Linked DNA regions of Drosophila melanogaster. The protein of the gene in region 2 interacts with the protein of the main gene of each other region in a pairwise test. Each region holds a gene or a part of one and is shown on either strand. Other genes may lie near its edges.

Region 1 (5,145 bases), on a different chromosome or scaffold from region 2:
ATGCAAATGGAGACCATCATCGCATGCACGATATTGACGAAATGGTTTAAACAAAACTCAAGTATTGCCAGGAAAGATGGTCGTCAACCAATATCGAGTAATGAAACCAAACAATTCGATGTACTGTCCATTCTTATCAATAATTAGTTGCAACCCCAAAAACATTCCCGGCATTAACCGAATGTTGCCGCAATTTCTGGGGCAGGTCATTTAACTCGCCGCAGCACTTTCATTAGCATGAGCATTCTAATTGCCTAGCGGTAGTCGTAGACAAAACCTGATTCCGTCTCGTGATGAGGTAATAGAACCTAACAAATCGGTACACCGATCTGCTGTGCTAGAGCCGGCGAAACAGTGTAATTACCGCGAATCAAAAACATATTATTGGCTTGAATGACTCGGAAAAATACTGCCCAAATAGTGCGCTCTGCCATGAAACCGCTAGTCAGATGCTGTCCACATGTTTGTCTCCCTGAATTTTCAATCATTTGCAGTTCCACGAAGCCCGGCGACAAGCGGGCAGCATGAAATTTCTAATAATACGAATGGACATACATGTGTATTGCAGCTATCACATAAAATAATCTTCACGGGGCGTGGGTTTTTTATTTCAGAAATTAAACAAACATGTGGAGGGCGTATTGTCCACAGAGAGTCATTTGGCATAACTCCAATACTTAGTTGGGGAGTAATTAAAGGAAGTTCTTGAGGCATTACTTATCAGGCGAATATGAATGCTCTGAAGTGGAAAATCAATCAACAAAGCCAGTGAAAATAAAAATAGCACCAGGTTTATAAGCAATATTCGATAATTCGAATTGAAAATGCCCTCACTTTTTAATTAGATAAGTGAAGCCCCATTTTAGTGATCTATTGAATGCTATACACATTAAACAAACATAATAATACTAATGGTAGCCAACAAGTGCACCAATTCAAACGAAAGCTATGCACATTAACCCCTTTAATCGCGCAATTTACTAACATCTTTCTCCTGGTGACTCATTTATATATGCCAGCTAATCTCAGAGGTTAATACGAAGCAGCCAAATGACCACAAGATTAACGCACTTGAGAGCCACCGAAAATCAATACGTCACGCTGAGAAATTATGGGAATATTCAATGAACCGAATGGAAAATGGCTCAAAGTCCCAACCACCCACTGCGGAAAGGGTATGGGGGAACAGCAACTGGTGATATGGCGCACTGGCTGGCAACTTAATTGGTGGAATTGTGTGCCGAGAACGCTTGTCGAGATTGCGCTAGACGCGGGACCTTATCAGGCCCGCAGCACAATACACAACATTAATGGCGAGAGTGAAAATAATAGAGCACGAAAGGCGGTGGAAAGATCTATCCTAGGCTCTTACATCTGGCAGATACGAAATCTGCGATGAGCTCATCGAGCGCATGCATGTGCTACGCATTTCGCACTTCAAACGGCGAGTGCAACAGCCTGGTGAAGTGGCAATTTTCCAGGAGGGGTGGTGACAGCATGGGAATAAATATATATATATAGCTAGATCTCTTAAGATCTTTAAATCTACTATGCAAATAAAGCGGCAATTTCCCTAAAAAAAAAAGACTCCTAGATTTAGCTTAAAACAACAATAAACGCAAATAAAACGATTTAAATTTAGCTGTTAAATGGTCTAAAGAAACATTCTCACATTTCAATGAGCAAAACAATAAACAAAACAAAAATATTCTTAATGTGGCATTCGGTAACAATTAAATTTTCCTGACTTTGCATTTATGAAAGATCTTAGTGCTTCCAGTTCGAATGTTTTCAATAACAAAACCATATTGTTTTTTTATCTTTAAAGTATTTAGATACCTAAAAACACCCATTTCCCGAGATATATGCTGGAAAATTCCCACTTTTGATAATAAGGACCCTTCTTTGCCCATCATATGTTTCGAGTCCCACACTTGTGGCCGGAAAATAGGGGTGCAGTGAGTGTGGAGGACAGCGGAGTGCCCGCGTAATTACCATCTGCTATTGTCCAGCGTATTTCGCTGGTCACCGGATCGATGGCTGTCAGTCCGCCGCCCAGTGTGGAGAACACCATCAGCGCCTCCTCGTCGCGGGCGAGGTCCGTGCAGTCCTGCGGGTTGTGGAAGAGCGAGAGAAACTTATGAACAACATATCGGGCAAGGTGATGAAATATTCATTGGTAGTCCAGTGTTAGCCCTTAGTGGGTCATACGGCCCAGTGCCGCCCCCACTTACCGTCTTCTCATCCTCGCCGCTGCTGACGACTTCTGCCGAGTCGCCCTGTTGTGATTTTGCTGTAGCTGATGCAATAAGCCCGCTGGCCAGCAAAAATAACACGCAACAAACAACAACGCAGAATCTCATTTTGTTTTTGCAACCGGTAGGGCGCGGGGCGGGGGTATTAGAAGAGAAAAGAGAGCGAAAGAGAGAGGGAACTAGTTACTGCTATTTCCGATCCGTATTCAGTTTGCACGTTTAGTCAGTTTTCGTTTCTTGTTTGTGGCATATTATCGCCTCTTTTTCAAAACTTTTCAATCATCAAACACTGTTGCAGCTCTGGCCGTGCTAAATTTCACATTTTCTTCGCACTCGCGTTCAATATTTTCCAATTACGTTCGCCATTGTTGAGTTGAGAGTTCGTCGAGTGAGCGGAGTAGAGTGACAGTGGGCAGATAATTGGGAAAAGACCGTACTGGTTTGAAGTGTGACCAGGGAGCACGCAACGAGCCAAATATGCAACGAAATAATATCCCATTCACACTGACGCTTGAGATGGCAGCAATGGAAATCTTATTGTTACCCATCGCTGTTGCCATAAAATCAATTTAAATGTGAAAAGATCTTTTTATTCCAACATGGATAAAATTGTAACATATACGTGGTAATATAATGTGAGCTTTGGAGTTTCTGCGCTTGCAGTGTAAACTTCCCAGAACTTGTATTGACTTTGGTCGATAAAAATCGATAGGCGATCTAATTTCGATATTACACAATGCGTCTTGTTTTTACGGGTAATTGTGTTTTTAAACGCCTGCTGCACACGGAAATAGGCGGAAAGTATGCCAAACAGCAGCCGCGGAACCTCAAAGGACGGAGCAAGAGCTCCCAGGAGTGGCTTACGCGCCAACTGGCGGATCCGTACGTGGAGAAGGCCCGCATGATGAACTATCGCTGCCGGAGTGCCTTCAAATTACTGGAGATCGACGACAAATACGGAATACTGCGGCCCGGAGACACAGTTTTGGAATGCGGAGCTGCTCCTGGCAGCTGGACCCAGGTGGCCGTGGAGCGGACCAATGCCAACGGAAAGCAGGAGCGGGCGCCACAGGGAGCCGTCTTTAGCATCGACCTGTTGCATTTCCATGCTGTGCCGGGTGCCACAATCTTTGGCGGCATGGATTTCACTTCTTCGCTGGCACAAAAGCGGCTGAGGGAAGCGTTACAAGACAGAAAGGTCAACTGCGTGCTGTCCGATATGGCACCCAATGCCACCGGAGTGAGGATGCTGGACCAGGAGAGCATCACTAACCTCTGCTACGAGGTGCTGCGCTTTGCCCTGGCCATGTCTGCTCCGCAGGCCCATCTGGTGGTCAAGGTGTGGGATAATGGCGACGTGCCCAAGCTGGAGCGAGATATGCTTAGGTTTTATGAGAAAGTGAAGAGAGTAAAACCGCGCGCTAGCCGCGGAGACTCCGCCGAGCACTTCCTGGTGGCCAGGAACTTTAAAGGAGCAACGGATAGTTAATTATTAACTGCGTTTTTTGGACTAGTTGAATTAAAAGCTTTGTTAATTGACTGTAGCTTATATTGGATAGAATAACTAAAGGGAAGTAACCTAGGATTAATTTCATCTCAACATTTTTGTTGATTTTCTTTTTGATGTTTTAATCTTTGTTGTTATATACAGTTCTGTAACAAATTATATGAATTTAGTTGAGTATTAACAACCCAATGCTCTCATCAACATATTTATGCATTCAAAACTCACACCAAATTATTCATGATTAATTTTAAAAACAAAGGCTTAAATTTGGTCTCCAAATTGTACTGAATAGTTTAAGTACGCATTTCCTAGTGCTTGTAATGAGTAAGGTGATCAATCATCATGTACAGCCACTTGGGCTGATCGTGAGGAGCCATGTGCCCGGCATTGCGGACCATGATCTCCACAAGATGTCCGGCGTGCTTGACATAGCCGGCCACTTCCTTCCCAACGCGCCACACTTCGCGGGGAGCCACCTTGTACTTGTCCGAGCCGGGGAACTTTAGTTGGTTGAGATAATTGCGCGTCAGTGGATAGGCAACAATAATGTCTAGCTGCCCGCTGTAGATGCACACAGTATAGTGGGCCAGCAGTTCGGCTATCCACGGGGCCACCGAGTCCATGATATCCTTCTTCAAGTGAAGTTCCACCTTGTTCTCCTTGTCCAGATCATGGAATGTCTTATTGCCCACATGAATTGCCCGCCGAGTGGCGCCCGCCTGCAGAAATTCGCCCAAGTTGGCGCCATCATCATCATGCGTCTTCAAGTAGTTGTAGTACCAGTTGTATCCAGTAAGGTTGCTGAACAGTGAGCCATTGGTAAGGTCCCCGTTGATTAGGGAATCAAATACGTCGAAGGCGCACTCCATGTCGTGACTCTTAATGCATTCAGCACCCTTTGCCTCGGCATCGTGGAAACTCTGCAGTCCGTGCTCGTCGATCAGGCCCAGCTGGTAGAGATAGTCACCGTACTTCAGCTGATGCAGCGGATCCGAGAGACCATTTCCGATGGCCACGCCCTTGAGCGGCACATAGACGCGGGTCTCTATGGCATTTTGTACCTTGTGGATGTGGTAAGCCAGGGCGGGAACGTATTTTCCGGCATAGGACTCGCCGGTGACCCAGAAACCAGAGGAGTTGCTCCACTCGAAGAGTTCGTACAGCTGCATCACAGCCTCGTGCAGATTGCGGCCCACATCCTTCTCGTTCGTAGCATAGCCGGCATCGTTCTCTGTAAAACTAAAGCCAGTGCCCACGGGATTGTCAATGTAGATGAGATTGTGTGTCTTGCTCCAGGTATAGTTGCGTTTCTGAAGCTTCCCATGACCATCCAACTCTAGTGGTCCATTCTCTGTGAACAAACCGAAGAGCGAGGAGGCACCT
Region 2 (7,487 bases):
ATTGGAATGGAGATGGGGATGGAGATGGGGATGGAGATGGGGGCTTGGAGGTGGGAAAGGAAGTGGGTGAAATTTCGCCAGCTGAATGCTGAATGCAAATCGTAATTTGGGGGCTTAACGTTTGATGGGTTTTTCATAAATGTGCAAAGGCTGAAAATGGTTCCACATTGAAATTCGCACAGATTCGCTGGCCAGTAATTCAATGATTGACCCCCTGAACTGGCTACAAAGGAAATGATCAAAGCGAAATTTATGTAAAGTATGCTTTTTAATCGGATACAACTTGTCACTTTGAAGTATTTATAAATCCAATTAAAATAAGATTTTTGAATGATAAGAAATATATTTTAACTAATTAATAATCAGCATTCTATTGTATCTTATTGAAATGAAATAGCACAAAATTTATAAAAAACTAATTAAAATTCCAATCATAATTCGCAGCTTACCACTTGATGGGCGTTTAATGAGCTCGTGAGATTCAAAGGAGGGCCCCACTTGTAAGATTTGTCAGCTAATCCAATGTGGGATTGACTTGTGATCCGCAAACGAAACTCCTTGACTCGAACGGAAGCTGGCTAATAAGGGGATTCCCTGGCTAGCTCCGATTGTCTGTGCATGAATCATGCGCAGCTTTGACATTTATGGCCTCAATTTATTTGATAAATTTCACACGCACGTTATCAATTGGCAGACGACAGTGACTCCCCCCTTCGGTGGTGGGCAATAAATTTTGACGGATTAGTTCGCTTATGAGTGGCATCGGCGAAAGGACTTCGAGGAATCCCTTGGCATCCAAAAACCAGTGGGCAAGTGGGCGAAACTATTCGCCATGGGATAAACTGTAATAATGGCCATTATTATTTATTTTTATTTTCCTCCCCGCTGTGTGTGCGGCGTATCAATTTTCATAAAATATCGATTGCCTGGTTATTGATAACCGTGGCTAAAGTCATATTATTTCCCGGTGCTCGGTTCGATGCGGACCAGATCCGGCGTGAAAATAAAACCCTCGGATTGATAAATTTTCCGATTTCAGGCCTGCTCAGGCCGTGCATTTGTCAATTTTGGCGCAGCTCGGTGGAGCGACTTCTGATTTCGATACCGGGAGTAGTCATCTATGCCATGATTTCGGCACAAATGAGATAGTCATAAAGATTATAAAATGGGGGTTGGAAGTCGAGGTAATTCAATGGGATGGTTGTGATTGTCAGAGGGAATAAATTGCCCACATTCAAACTTTTAAGAAAGTGTCTTCATCGTGGAAAATAAATTACCAATGATAGATTCTTAAAATCATTTTATTTCTACTTCAATGGACTTAATATCTGCTCATTGAGGGGTATATTTTTTGGCAGAATTATAATACTCCAAACTTACGATAATGTTTCTCGAACCAAAAGATTTGATTTGAATACCACCATAACAGCACATAGCTAGCTTTTTAATGCACTTGAATATTTAAAGGGTAGCAGGGGAGTAAATAAACAATTAGTTATCCCCATTGTTGAACCCCTTAATGAGCATTTTCCAGCACACCATAAGCTGCATTTAACCAAATCATGATAATTGCTCCAATCGAGACAATTTGCCAAAGCCAATTGATTAATTAATAAGGTGCTCGAGCTTATTCGAAGCTCGGAATAGAACCGGGAAATGATTTTGGGTGTGGCCAGGCCGCCAGTTCTTCAGTCTCTGGGCTACCTACATAATTTAAAGCTAATTAATTTTCCTGGCGCAGCTCATTCGAAATACATCAATCAAAATCCAAGTTGGGGGCTAATTGCATTTACCTGATGACGGTTTTCATTTTGGTACCGCCCCTTCTTCAGATTTTCCATCAATTACCGAACACAATCAAGAAATTACGATTTTTGTTTTGACTTGATGTTTAAAGGGATGTAGACTAAAGCTAATTAACACTTTAAAAAGGCGACGAGTAATTACTTATTTATTGTAAGTTTAAAGTTTTAAAACCGCTTATTAATTGTGATATTATTCCGTTTATTATGTTTCCATATTAGTTATGTCTAAAATGATGACATATTTATGCATGAGATACCATTCTTGGTACTGAACCTTATTTGATATGCACCTCAAATCCAAGTTCTTTTTTACACCTAATCCAAATCATACAACCCTATTCAATTATTAATTTCGATGTGTTGCCCTCTGGTGACCCACAAAGGAGACGGTAGAGTTAAAGATGCCTTGTAGATAGATAGGGTCTACGGACGTGTTCGTCTGGCCCCTCGATATGAGAATTATGGGACACGTTGCTATCGCCAAAAATCTAATGCCTAATCCTCGAAATTAATTACCTTCGCTGCACCTTTGCCACATTTCATTCAGACTGTTTCTATGAAATTAAGCGAAAAGAAAGAAAATTCCATGTAGCTGAAAGCGATCCTAGTGCCCAGATACGAGTAGCTCTCCAGACATCGTACTTATGCCCGTGCACGTTCCGTGGTGAGAGCATCAAGATAGTGTGGAAAAAAAACGTGAAGGCGGAGGCCACTTGACGCTTCCTTCGTGTACACACTGTACTTGCACTGAAAAAAAGAAATGAATGAATAAAAGAGAAGTTCCTTTTTGCAGAAGCTACGGAATATTGAAATATTTGCTACTTCTATGAGATATGGTAATTATAATATACATATATACAATTTAATTTAATATTAATCTAGAATAATAATATATGTATATAGGGCTATCATTTTCAATGTTATAATTTCTAAATGTTGATGTTTATGATATAACCATGTTTTTGAGTGTGGATTTCTTTCGTGTGGAAGTGGAACCCTCTCTGTCTATGGCTTGGATTATAGATGACCCAGGCATCGTCAACTTCATCGTCATGTAAATTTTTGAAATATAATTGGCCTAATATTTTAGCCTGTCCGCTGTCTGTTGGTAATACCCGGTCCCAGACACGTACTACGAGTGTGGCTCGAGGCCCCTGGGCAACAGGCACTTGGCTGGGTTACTTGGCCCGAAAGCCCATAACACTCGTACTGGCGCACTCATGCTGCAGGCCATGATTTTTATCAGTTTACCTTAGTTTGTGTTTGGCCAACGCACCCAATTTTCCACGGAATATGGGTGTAGCCCGTTGCCAGTTGCCTAATGTGGAAACCTCCTTCCATCCTCGCTCGTTTCGGCCCAACCCAACCCAACAAACCAACCGTACCGACCAAACTAACAAATAGCAAACAGAAAACGACACAATCCGTGCATTAGCCAAACTCAAACTCAAACTACGAAACTCCTAACTCAACTCCATGCCACTTGTTTGCTGAACTTTTGATATTTTCCAACCGACGCCGATAGTTGCCAGTTGGGATCCGCGAACCTTGGCATTTGTCTAGTCCGATGGTCGATATATGTGTATAACTGAATCTGTGGAGCAGGTGCTGCACTGAATGCGATCCGCAGCCTGGGAATATTCAATCGAGCATTTTGCCTGGCCAACCAACTATAATTATGCATTGACAGAACGCGAAAAAAGCAATTTATTATTCAAGAATGAAACTTATGCTGAGAAAATGAAGTATAAAGCTTGCTTTATGTAAAACAATCATGATTTTATCAGGATTTAAGACATATCTTTTTTCATTTTTAAGTTGATGAATCAATAATTCGAGTTCATTAGCAGCTAGAAATATATACAATTCAAAAAGATTCGTTTAATATAAAATTATAATCATCATAATTCAATAATTCCTTTACTTATAGTTGTAAAATTTAATGTACACAGAAACATTTTTGTGCCGAAATTGGCATTGCTTTTTGTAGCAGAAAACATTCCCAGTTTTCAAGGAAAATACACCCACGTTCTCATTATATCAATAATACATATATTCTTTATTTGTTGGTAACTGATGGCAAAGATGTCCAAGTCATCGCGTAGCTTCAAGCTGCCACCAGTCAGCTCCTCTTCCGTGTCCTCGGTCTCCGGCAGCGAATCCGGGCAAGGATTGGAAGACATGTTGCACGTGACAAAGGTGCGAACTTCCCAGGTGGACAACGCAGAGCTTTTCATGTACGGCGACGGGCCCAAAAAATCGAATTCAGATCTGCAGAAAAAGGTCAGTACACCCGATCCGGAAGAGGAGGTGTCAATGGAACCACCATTTGTGGCATTGGTCAGCAATTTGCCAATGGAGTGCACTGAAGGCGAGTTGCGGAAAGTGTTCACCAGTTTTTCGATCCGTTCTCTAACCATTCCGAAGAAGGGAAAGCGACCCAAGGGATTTGCGTATGTGGAAATGGATTCCCGCGAGGATCTCGTTCGTCTGCTCAAAATGGATAAGCTTAAGTGCCGTGGTCGTTGTCTTATGGCCAAAATAGGCCAATTGCCACCCGAACCACCGACAAAGGCAGCTGGAGATGGCTTTTCATTATTTACTTGTTCAGGCAGGCAATTTGATATAAACTCTAGCCATTATTCGGCCAGTGTCAGTGATCTCAGCACCATCGATTCGCCAATCTCTGCGAGGAACTCACCATTTCCTTCGGAAAGTGAGTCGTCCTTTTTCGGCAGGGATAATCCTATAAAAAGAATTCCTAGTAGCACTGAGGAAGTGGAACGCCGTATGCAAATTCGTCTTCAGAAACTAGCCGAATTCGAAAATTCTGAATCGGAGAGAATTAAGAGTGAATGCGAGGATGATCCGGATGCCTTCATGTCCTGGAGCGATGCCCTAGACGAGATTAGAAAATCTGAAACTGATTCCTCAAATCATACTGAATCCTAGCAATAAAAGCATGATAATTGAATGTTCAAAATTACAAATTTTTGTATTTATGTAATAATTAAACTTAAATGCAAAAATAGTCCATATATATGTATTAAGCTGACTGCCGCTTATGAATTATTAAAACAATAGGGTTTCGATTTATTTTCCATTTAAAACCTGAAGCCGGGAAACCCGTCCAATGTGCACAAGAATTATGGATCCAAAGTGAGCTAATTAACAAAAATGAAATGCTGTTAATGAACGGTGAAGTGTTCATTTGCCCCTTGGCAACAGCTGCAGGTTACCAAAACCAAAAACCAAAAAAAAAACCGAAATTAAAAGAAAACAATTAATCAACAATATTGACTTAAAGCTGTCAACTGAATTAAATTAAACTGATTTATTAATGTGGCGACAGTTGGGCGATTGAACCGCTGACGTCCAAAATGCGATGGTGACTGTGATTTTGACGCTCCGCCACCCAAAAAGCCGTCCTCTTTGGGCCAACAAACAAAGAGCCAAAAACAATCCAGTAAAGCATACGCTAATTGACCAACTAATTAGCGCATTTAATGGCTGCCACATAGATGTACTTTTTGGTGTATGTGAATAAAATACGGTCACCGAAACAAGAAAGACAGACTTGCTAATGAAATTAACGTAGCGTGGTTAATAGTTTTGCCAAATTTGGAAAATTGTTTTCATTAAATCGGTCGGCTTTAGTTACCCGTTCTGCTCTTGGCGTCATCTTTCTCATGCATTATCTTTATTTCTTTATTAATTTTATTTGTCTGTTAATTCCCGGTCTGCACTTAATGACTCCGGCCCTTGGAGGCACGATTTTTGCCAGCGGAAAATTACTCATAGTCCCCGAGACAGCATGGCGATGACTAAGTTGGCGTCATAAAAATTCAGCCCACTTTGAATCACCGAGAGTGGAAAATTCGGAGTTTGTGAATAGATAGGAAACTAGGCTACTAATTAATATGGGAAAAATTTTTCATTAGCTCTGATACGGTTGATTTTCGATGGTAAAAAGCCGAGTTGTTGCTTTACCAAAAAGCTTTTTTTTGCTCGGTTAGTTTTGGATACATACTAAAATCTTAAGTGTGAATTTATTAATGTAACTAATTGACTCGTTTTCGGTTTCCAAGTCCTTGGTTTATATCACTATACTGTATACCTTTTAGAGTTAATCGAGTTTCTTTTCTGGCTTTAAGGTTCCTCATAAATTTCCATGCTCGGAAAACTGATGAATCTAACTTATTTTCAATTCAGCTTTATCTAAATTTATACGTTTCTCCGTTCCAGCACTTTTGTTGCTTCAATTCATCGACTAATTGCTTGAGTTCGCTTCAATTAGACTGGCCGTTCTTCTAACAATTCGGCCGGTTGCACATAAAATGTCTGTCGACGGCTTTCTCCCTTTTGGCCTCCCGTCTATCCTTTTTTCTCGTCCTTTTCTCTTCTCCTCTCGACCTCTGTCTCTTCTCATTAACTCAACGGTGCGGACAGCCCTTTCAAATTTGGTCAGAAGCGTGGCCAGAACCGCAGTGCCACTCTAAGCTTCATTTTTACACGGTGCAAAATATTGCAAAAAAAAACTTAAAAGTAGTTGATCAAGCTCTTTAAATGTATATTTAAATATGATATTAAGTGCATATTAAGTAAATAGTTAATAAAAAAGGACTATAAATTAATTATTGGACAGTAAAAAATGTGTTAAATTGTATATTCATATATGTACTTGTTTTTCTCCATGTGTAGATTCAACTACCGGGCCAAAAGCCAGGGGCCACGTCCGGAATGCGGAATGTTCTGGCCATTGCCGTTGCCAATTTCCGGAAAATGGCAATGGGCATCACGAGCAGCAGAAGCGCCGGCCGTTGGGCGTAAATTAAAATTAAATTCAAATGGAAAAGTGTCGTCGACGCGACCTGGACTCTGATCCGCAGTCGGAGGAAGGGACAACCGGCGACGGTGTTGGAGCTAGAGGCATTGGCCATTGGCACGTCTGTCGGTTTATGCAACATTTTAGCAATTATATTCGCGTCGGGCGACATTACAACGGCAATTACACGCAGGAGCCACAGAACATGCCCGTGGGCGGATGGATGGTCACGGAGTTTGTGGGGGGTGTGCCACTCCGTCCGGCACTCTGGCATTCCGGCATTCCGGCTTACTGGCATTTTGGCATTCCGCCGTTCCTGTCATCGTCACGTGGAGCGGCAACGTGATCAAGTGACGCACGGCTCTGACGGACGACAGTCGCCGCCGCAGAGGGTCCTGTCATTGGCAGACTGGCTAAATGTCTGACTGCCTGAATGGCTGGCTGAATGGGCCACCGGCCGGTTGACTGACTCGGATGACAGGACATGGAGTGCAGGACAAAAATATTTCAGCTTAATAACTGAAGTGACGACACTGAGCAGTTCCTTTCGCACAGGGAACAGTTTACATCTGTTAAAAACAAGTTAAAATCCCTTGAATGTGTATTAAGTTTATGTCGCACGTTTTTGTACTCCATTATGTTTCCAAGGACAGATAATTATAAATGTATTGAAAAGGAAGACATTTAGCATTCATATTAAAAAACTCGCCATATGAATTATGAAATTCTACTATAATCATGTACTATTAATTATATAGAAGGGCTTATTTTACGTAAGTATATGAAAGTTAAGCCAAATACAGGCATTAACATAAAAAACACGAATTTTCAAAAACTTTTTAATATCGTAGAGTATA
Region 3 (4,893 bases), on a different chromosome or scaffold from region 2:
ACAATCGCTTGGCCATGACACAGGTGTTTATCAATGGTGCCAGAGACGATCTCAATGTACGGGAATTCCAGAGCCTGGGTACGAAGTCGTGAAACATTGCCATGTCACTATAATTTGTGGTCCTTTCTGCAGATCCTTCGATTCAAGAGATCATCCTGGCAGCCACGGAAGCCAGAAAACAGGCTTATTGTCCGTACAGTAACTTTGCCGTAGGAGCCGCCCTGAGGACCAGCGATGGCACCATATACTCCGGTTGCAACATCGAAAACGGGGCGTATGCCACCTGCATTTGTGCAGAGCGCACTGCAGCCGTCAAGGCCATCAGGTCAGTGGGTCAATATTCTCTGGGTCACATACGCATCGCTTGAGATCTATCCACAGGAAATACTGAAAGTAAAGCGTTAGTCACAGTAAAGCTTATCTTGGATTAAAAACTTAGATTTCAATATATTGAGATAACCCTTGACAGCAATGAGGAATGTTAATCTGTAATGACAACACTATTACTTAAATTCTTACATACTTAATTATCCTCTCCAAGTCCTTTCGAATAACTAAAATAACACATTTTTACAGTGAAGGCAAACGCGACTTTGTGGCTTGTGCAGTGGTGGCCCAGCAGGATAATGGCTTCACCACGCCTTGTGGCGTCTGCCGGCAGTTCCTCTCGGAGTTCGTCAACGGCAAGGACATCCCCCTGTACGCCGCCAAGCCGACCAATCTTCCATTGAGGGTGCTCTGCACCAGCGTTCTCCAACTGCTGCCCAACGGCTTTAGCTTCGCCAACGGAAAATAGAAAAGAATATCCCAGCCCAGCCCAGCCGGACAGGGTGCAATCCATGTGCAATAGTTTATGTGACATCCCATTTATAATGTTCTGTAAACCCACCCCTCGTTATTTGTTGATTGAATAGCTTATACGAGATACGGCATCTGTTTGTGTTTTTCACTGCTCTCCGCGATCGCGATCGTTGCTTATCAGCCTGATACCTGGTTCTCTCTCGCGCTCCGAATTGGCCAAATGTTTATTTCTGTCACCACTACACGGCGGAGAGTGCTATCAGCATAGCCAACTTCGGGCGCCGCCGTCACCACAAACCGTCCATTTGCCATCGGACGTTCAAAGGAGAAACACACGCACTCAACTTGCTAAAAATAATTCAAAATTTAAGAAAATAGGCGTGCCTCTATTGACCAAAAGAATTGAACTATAATGACACATCTGACAAAAAATTTCGCACGTCCAGAAAAGAATGAGGAGGTTGTGACCTTCGGCAGTCTGGGTAAGATTCCTTCTCGAGATTGAGAACAATCTGAGAACAATCCTTAAATATCTACGACTGTCAATTATTCAAAGTGGTTCTTATGATATTAAAAATAATAATGTTATAAATTAATACTCCTTACACTCATTGACAAGATCTAAGTTTAATTCTTGAGCGTGGCGTGCATTGTTTCGACTTCCAGATCCGTCGGTTCAAGAACTTCTGACAGCTGCTTTTCAAGTGCGCCAGCGGGCATACGTTCCATATAGTGGCTTCAAAGTTGGGGCTGCTTTTCGGGCCAAGGTCGATGGAAAGATCTTCACTGGCTGCAATGTGGAAAACGCCGCCTTTACGCCGGGCTCTTGTGCCGAGAGAACGGCCATTGCTAAGGCCGTAAGCGAAGGAGCCACCGAATTTTTGGCAGGTGCTGTTTTGGCCTACGAACCTAATGTATTCACCACTCCTTGCGGCGTTTGTCGTCAGTTTATACGCGAGTTTGCCAACGCGGATATACCCATATATGTGGCCCAGGCGATCGATGCGAGGATTGCTGAAAAGCAGGAACTTTTGCAGAGTGACGATCCCGTCATGTGCACCTCAATCTTTAATCTGTTGCCGAGCAGTTTTCACACCTATCGAAAGTAACGACCACTGCAGGCAAGAACCGAAAATAGGCAGAAGGTAGCTAGGTAAAGGTTGTTTCTCAACCCCTTGCTGCCTCTAATCAATATAATTTTGATCTAATCACTTGCAATAAAGAAAATTACACTACTTAGCAGTGTTTAATGTTTTTTTTTCGATCAATGAATAGGAAATGGGGATATAAATGCTGGAAAGATTGACACAGTGAAAGATTCTAGGAAAAGGTGTTTAATCGCTTTTGATTATATATCAAAATTAAGGTTATAAATTAAAGATATCGAATTTGGATTGACAACTGCTGACGTTAAGCGCAATGCAGGGAATGCCCCGATTTGTGATGACGTGATAAATGCACTCAACTTCTGATTCATAAACACCAAATTATTGTGAGATTAAATTTCGCCATTTGTATAGTAGCGAAAATAAGAAAGATCATTGTGGTAGTGGCAATCTTTTAAATCAAATTTATAAGGTTTGTTTCCAATTCCTTTGGATTCTAGTTTTTGAGATCATGATGTTCATACGAACAATAAGACAGACTGGCTAGACCGATGTCGCGATAAAGGCGCGTTCAAAACGCGTCCGAAACGCGTCGAAAACGCGCGAGCTTTTTCGACATTCTTAATTTGTAAAAATTTTAAACGTATTTAGTTGTTGTTGTTGTTTCATTAAATGCCTTAATGAACATCAACTGTAATAAATGTAATAAAAATTCAAATGGCGCTAAATAATATAATATAATCATTTTTATGAAAAAGAAACAAAAAGAAAATAATTTGTTTGACATTAGTGTTTTACAAATTGCCAACAGATACAGCATTTGCTTCTGGCTTTCAAAAATTGTTTTCGTTTTAAAAATTTGAAGTTCTGCAAAATGTCCGAAAAGCGGAAGCTCCTTCAGCGCTACATGCGGAACCTGAGCGACCTACAGGATGAGCTGAAGCGAAAAGAGCTGGAGAAGAAGATGAAGGAACTGGAAATGTTGCAGGCGAAGCTAGCTCGTCGCCAGGAGCAATCTGGCACCAAGTGCGCTGGCGGTAAGATCAAGAACTTGCGCCAGAAGAATCTTCGAAAGGTACTGGGAAAGTATATGATGACCTTGGAGGGATTTCTATGCGAGCTAGCACGCAGGGAGGCGCGTCTAAATGGCGACAGGGGTCGGGCTAGTGAATCCGAAAACCTGCCACATCCACAGATGTTGGAGGAGTACACAGTAGCGTTCTGTGCTGTTGGTAAGGCTTGGCTATAATGGTGAATCCTCTGCCATTGGTAATCAAACCGTAATCTCCAGGTGAGGATGGCCGGGAGCTGCTAGAGGCGGCTCTTTCTGCCCGTCGATGTGCCTATGCGCCCTACAGCAAATTCAAAGTGGGAGCAGCCTTCCGTGCGAAGTGCGGCAGGATCTACGCGGGCTGCAACATCGAGAACGTAGCTTTCACTCCAGGCAATTGTGCGGAGCGTTGTGCCCTGGCCAAGGGTATCAGCGAGGGCGAGAAGAAGTATACGGCGGGTGCTGTGGTAGCCTATCACCCAGATGGGTTTACCACACCTTGCGGAGTCTGCCGGCAGTTCATTTTGGAGTTCATCCAAAATGATATTCCTATCTACATTGCCAAGGCTCCGCCGCCGGAGCAAGAGAACTGCATTCCTTCAATTCCGGACGAAGCTGAAGTGCTGGTCACGTCCGCCTACCATCTGCTTCCCCACAGCTTTAACTCATTTGAATGAAATTTTCATCTAAATAATATCCAGAATTTATTTAATGCAATAAAATTATTCGTTCTAATGTCAATAAGTATTGCAAATAATTTAAGTTAGCGATCTGATTAACTTGACAAAAAGTCAAAACAATGTGTAGAGAACTAAACGTATTTGATAACTGGTTCTCCCGATCCGTAGATGCCGTATTCGCTTTTCTCCGCAAACGGAGTGACTTCCTCGTGCACGAGTATGGGCTTAACTTCTGGATCGAATTCAACCCTTCGAAATTGTGGATCCGTGAAATTAGCGCGCACCTCGGTGACCATTCCCGAATGCGGCACTCGTTTGGTGAGGTTTTGAAACTCACAGCGTCGCTTTGGGCAATTATGCGTATTACCCTCGTCACACATTGTAGGATCCTCTTCGCGGGACACTTTCTGGATGGGCGGCATCTTCTCCGTCCAATTCCAGTATGTAATATTGTCGTGGGCAGCTACTCCGCCACACAAGTCCTCGGGACCCCAGCGCACATACGACAGATTGTATGTGGTGGAGGAGGGATCAAGGTACTTGCTAAAGGACGCCTCCGAACGGTCGATGACTAGCTTGGTGGCTACCACCGGAGTGGGCATTGTTACAGGCAATATTTCCTGTTCCTCCGGCAGCTCCTTAAGTACATACGACTCATGACTGACACTAGAAATGGGCTTCATCTTTCGCTTTACAAAGCGAAGGGAACCCTCCTCAAATGGTTTCATATACTGTGTTTTCATGTTGAGCGAGGGATTTCTAAGTGCGTTGGGATCGTTATACTGGAACATCATGGTCACGTTTTAGTTTGGTGCAACATATCTCAGCATATCAATCAACTCACCTGCCACACATAGTTGGCCATGCACTCAGAAGTCGGCTTCTCGGACAGCAGCGGATCTTTTACATAAATACCCTTATCCGTAAACTTGGCGTTCAGCTTGTTACCCATTCTCAAGTCTGTAATGTGGCGATGCCCTCGATAGTACGAGGTCCTCCAATCGGGATCTGTAGCGCTGGCAGGGCGCTTGTAATCGAAGACGCCGAACTCATCCATGGCTTATGGACTTTGAAAATCTATCTAACACTGACAACAAACACAATTTTCAGCGACAATGGAAATGTGCACCCCTTGAGACGCTTAATTTGGAAACCCTTGATGTTGCCCAGTTACCGAATAGACTCCAAACAATGCTAGTATACTGACTGCTCACAAACAGCCAGCCTTCTGTACAATATTTCTCGTTTATATTCT

What was found.
Region 1: the proteins of CG11726 (region 2) and Mrm2 interact in a two-hybrid assay, tested with the Drosophila melanogaster proteins (one large-scale study listed by BioGRID).
Region 3: the proteins of CG11726 (region 2) and CG8349 interact in a two-hybrid assay, tested with the Drosophila melanogaster proteins (one large-scale study listed by BioGRID).

Annotation. Positions count from the first base shown.
Region 1 is NT_033777.3:19,858,652-19,863,796, forward strand, and holds Mrm2 (mitochondrial rRNA methyltransferase 2), read left to right. Parts: upstream 1-2,958; 5' UTR 2,959-2,991; coding exon 2,992-3,744; 3' UTR 3,745-3,949; downstream 3,950-5,145. Other genes in the region: Ire1 (Inositol-requiring enzyme-1), read right to left, coding at 1,996-2,110, 2,235-2,363; CG4572 (uncharacterized protein), read right to left, coding at 4,071-5,145. UniProt on the Drosophila melanogaster protein: S-adenosyl-L-methionine-dependent 2'-O-ribose methyltransferase that catalyzes the formation of 2'-O-methyluridine at position 1579 (Um1579) in the mitochondrial large subunit ribosomal RNA (mtLSU rRNA), a universally conserved modification in the peptidyl transferase domain of the mtLSU rRNA.
Region 2 is NT_037436.4:11,390,890-11,398,376, forward strand, and holds CG11726 (uncharacterized protein), read left to right. Parts: upstream 1-3,800; 5' UTR 3,801-3,881; coding exon 3,882-4,757; 3' UTR 4,758-4,784; downstream 4,785-7,487. Other genes in the region: CG44362 (uncharacterized protein), read left to right, coding at 6,653-6,976.
Region 3 is NT_033779.5:8,213,205-8,218,097, forward strand, and holds CG8349 (uncharacterized protein), read left to right. Parts: upstream 1-2,710; 5' UTR 2,711-2,781; coding exon 2,782-3,139; intron 3,140-3,198; coding exon 3,199-3,635; 3' UTR 3,636-3,697; downstream 3,698-4,893. Other genes in the region: CG8360 (uncharacterized protein), read left to right, coding at 15-78, 133-325, 577-796; CG8353 (uncharacterized protein), read left to right, coding at 1,214-1,283, 1,468-1,910; CG8292 (uncharacterized protein), read right to left, coding at 3,770-4,420, 4,483-4,695.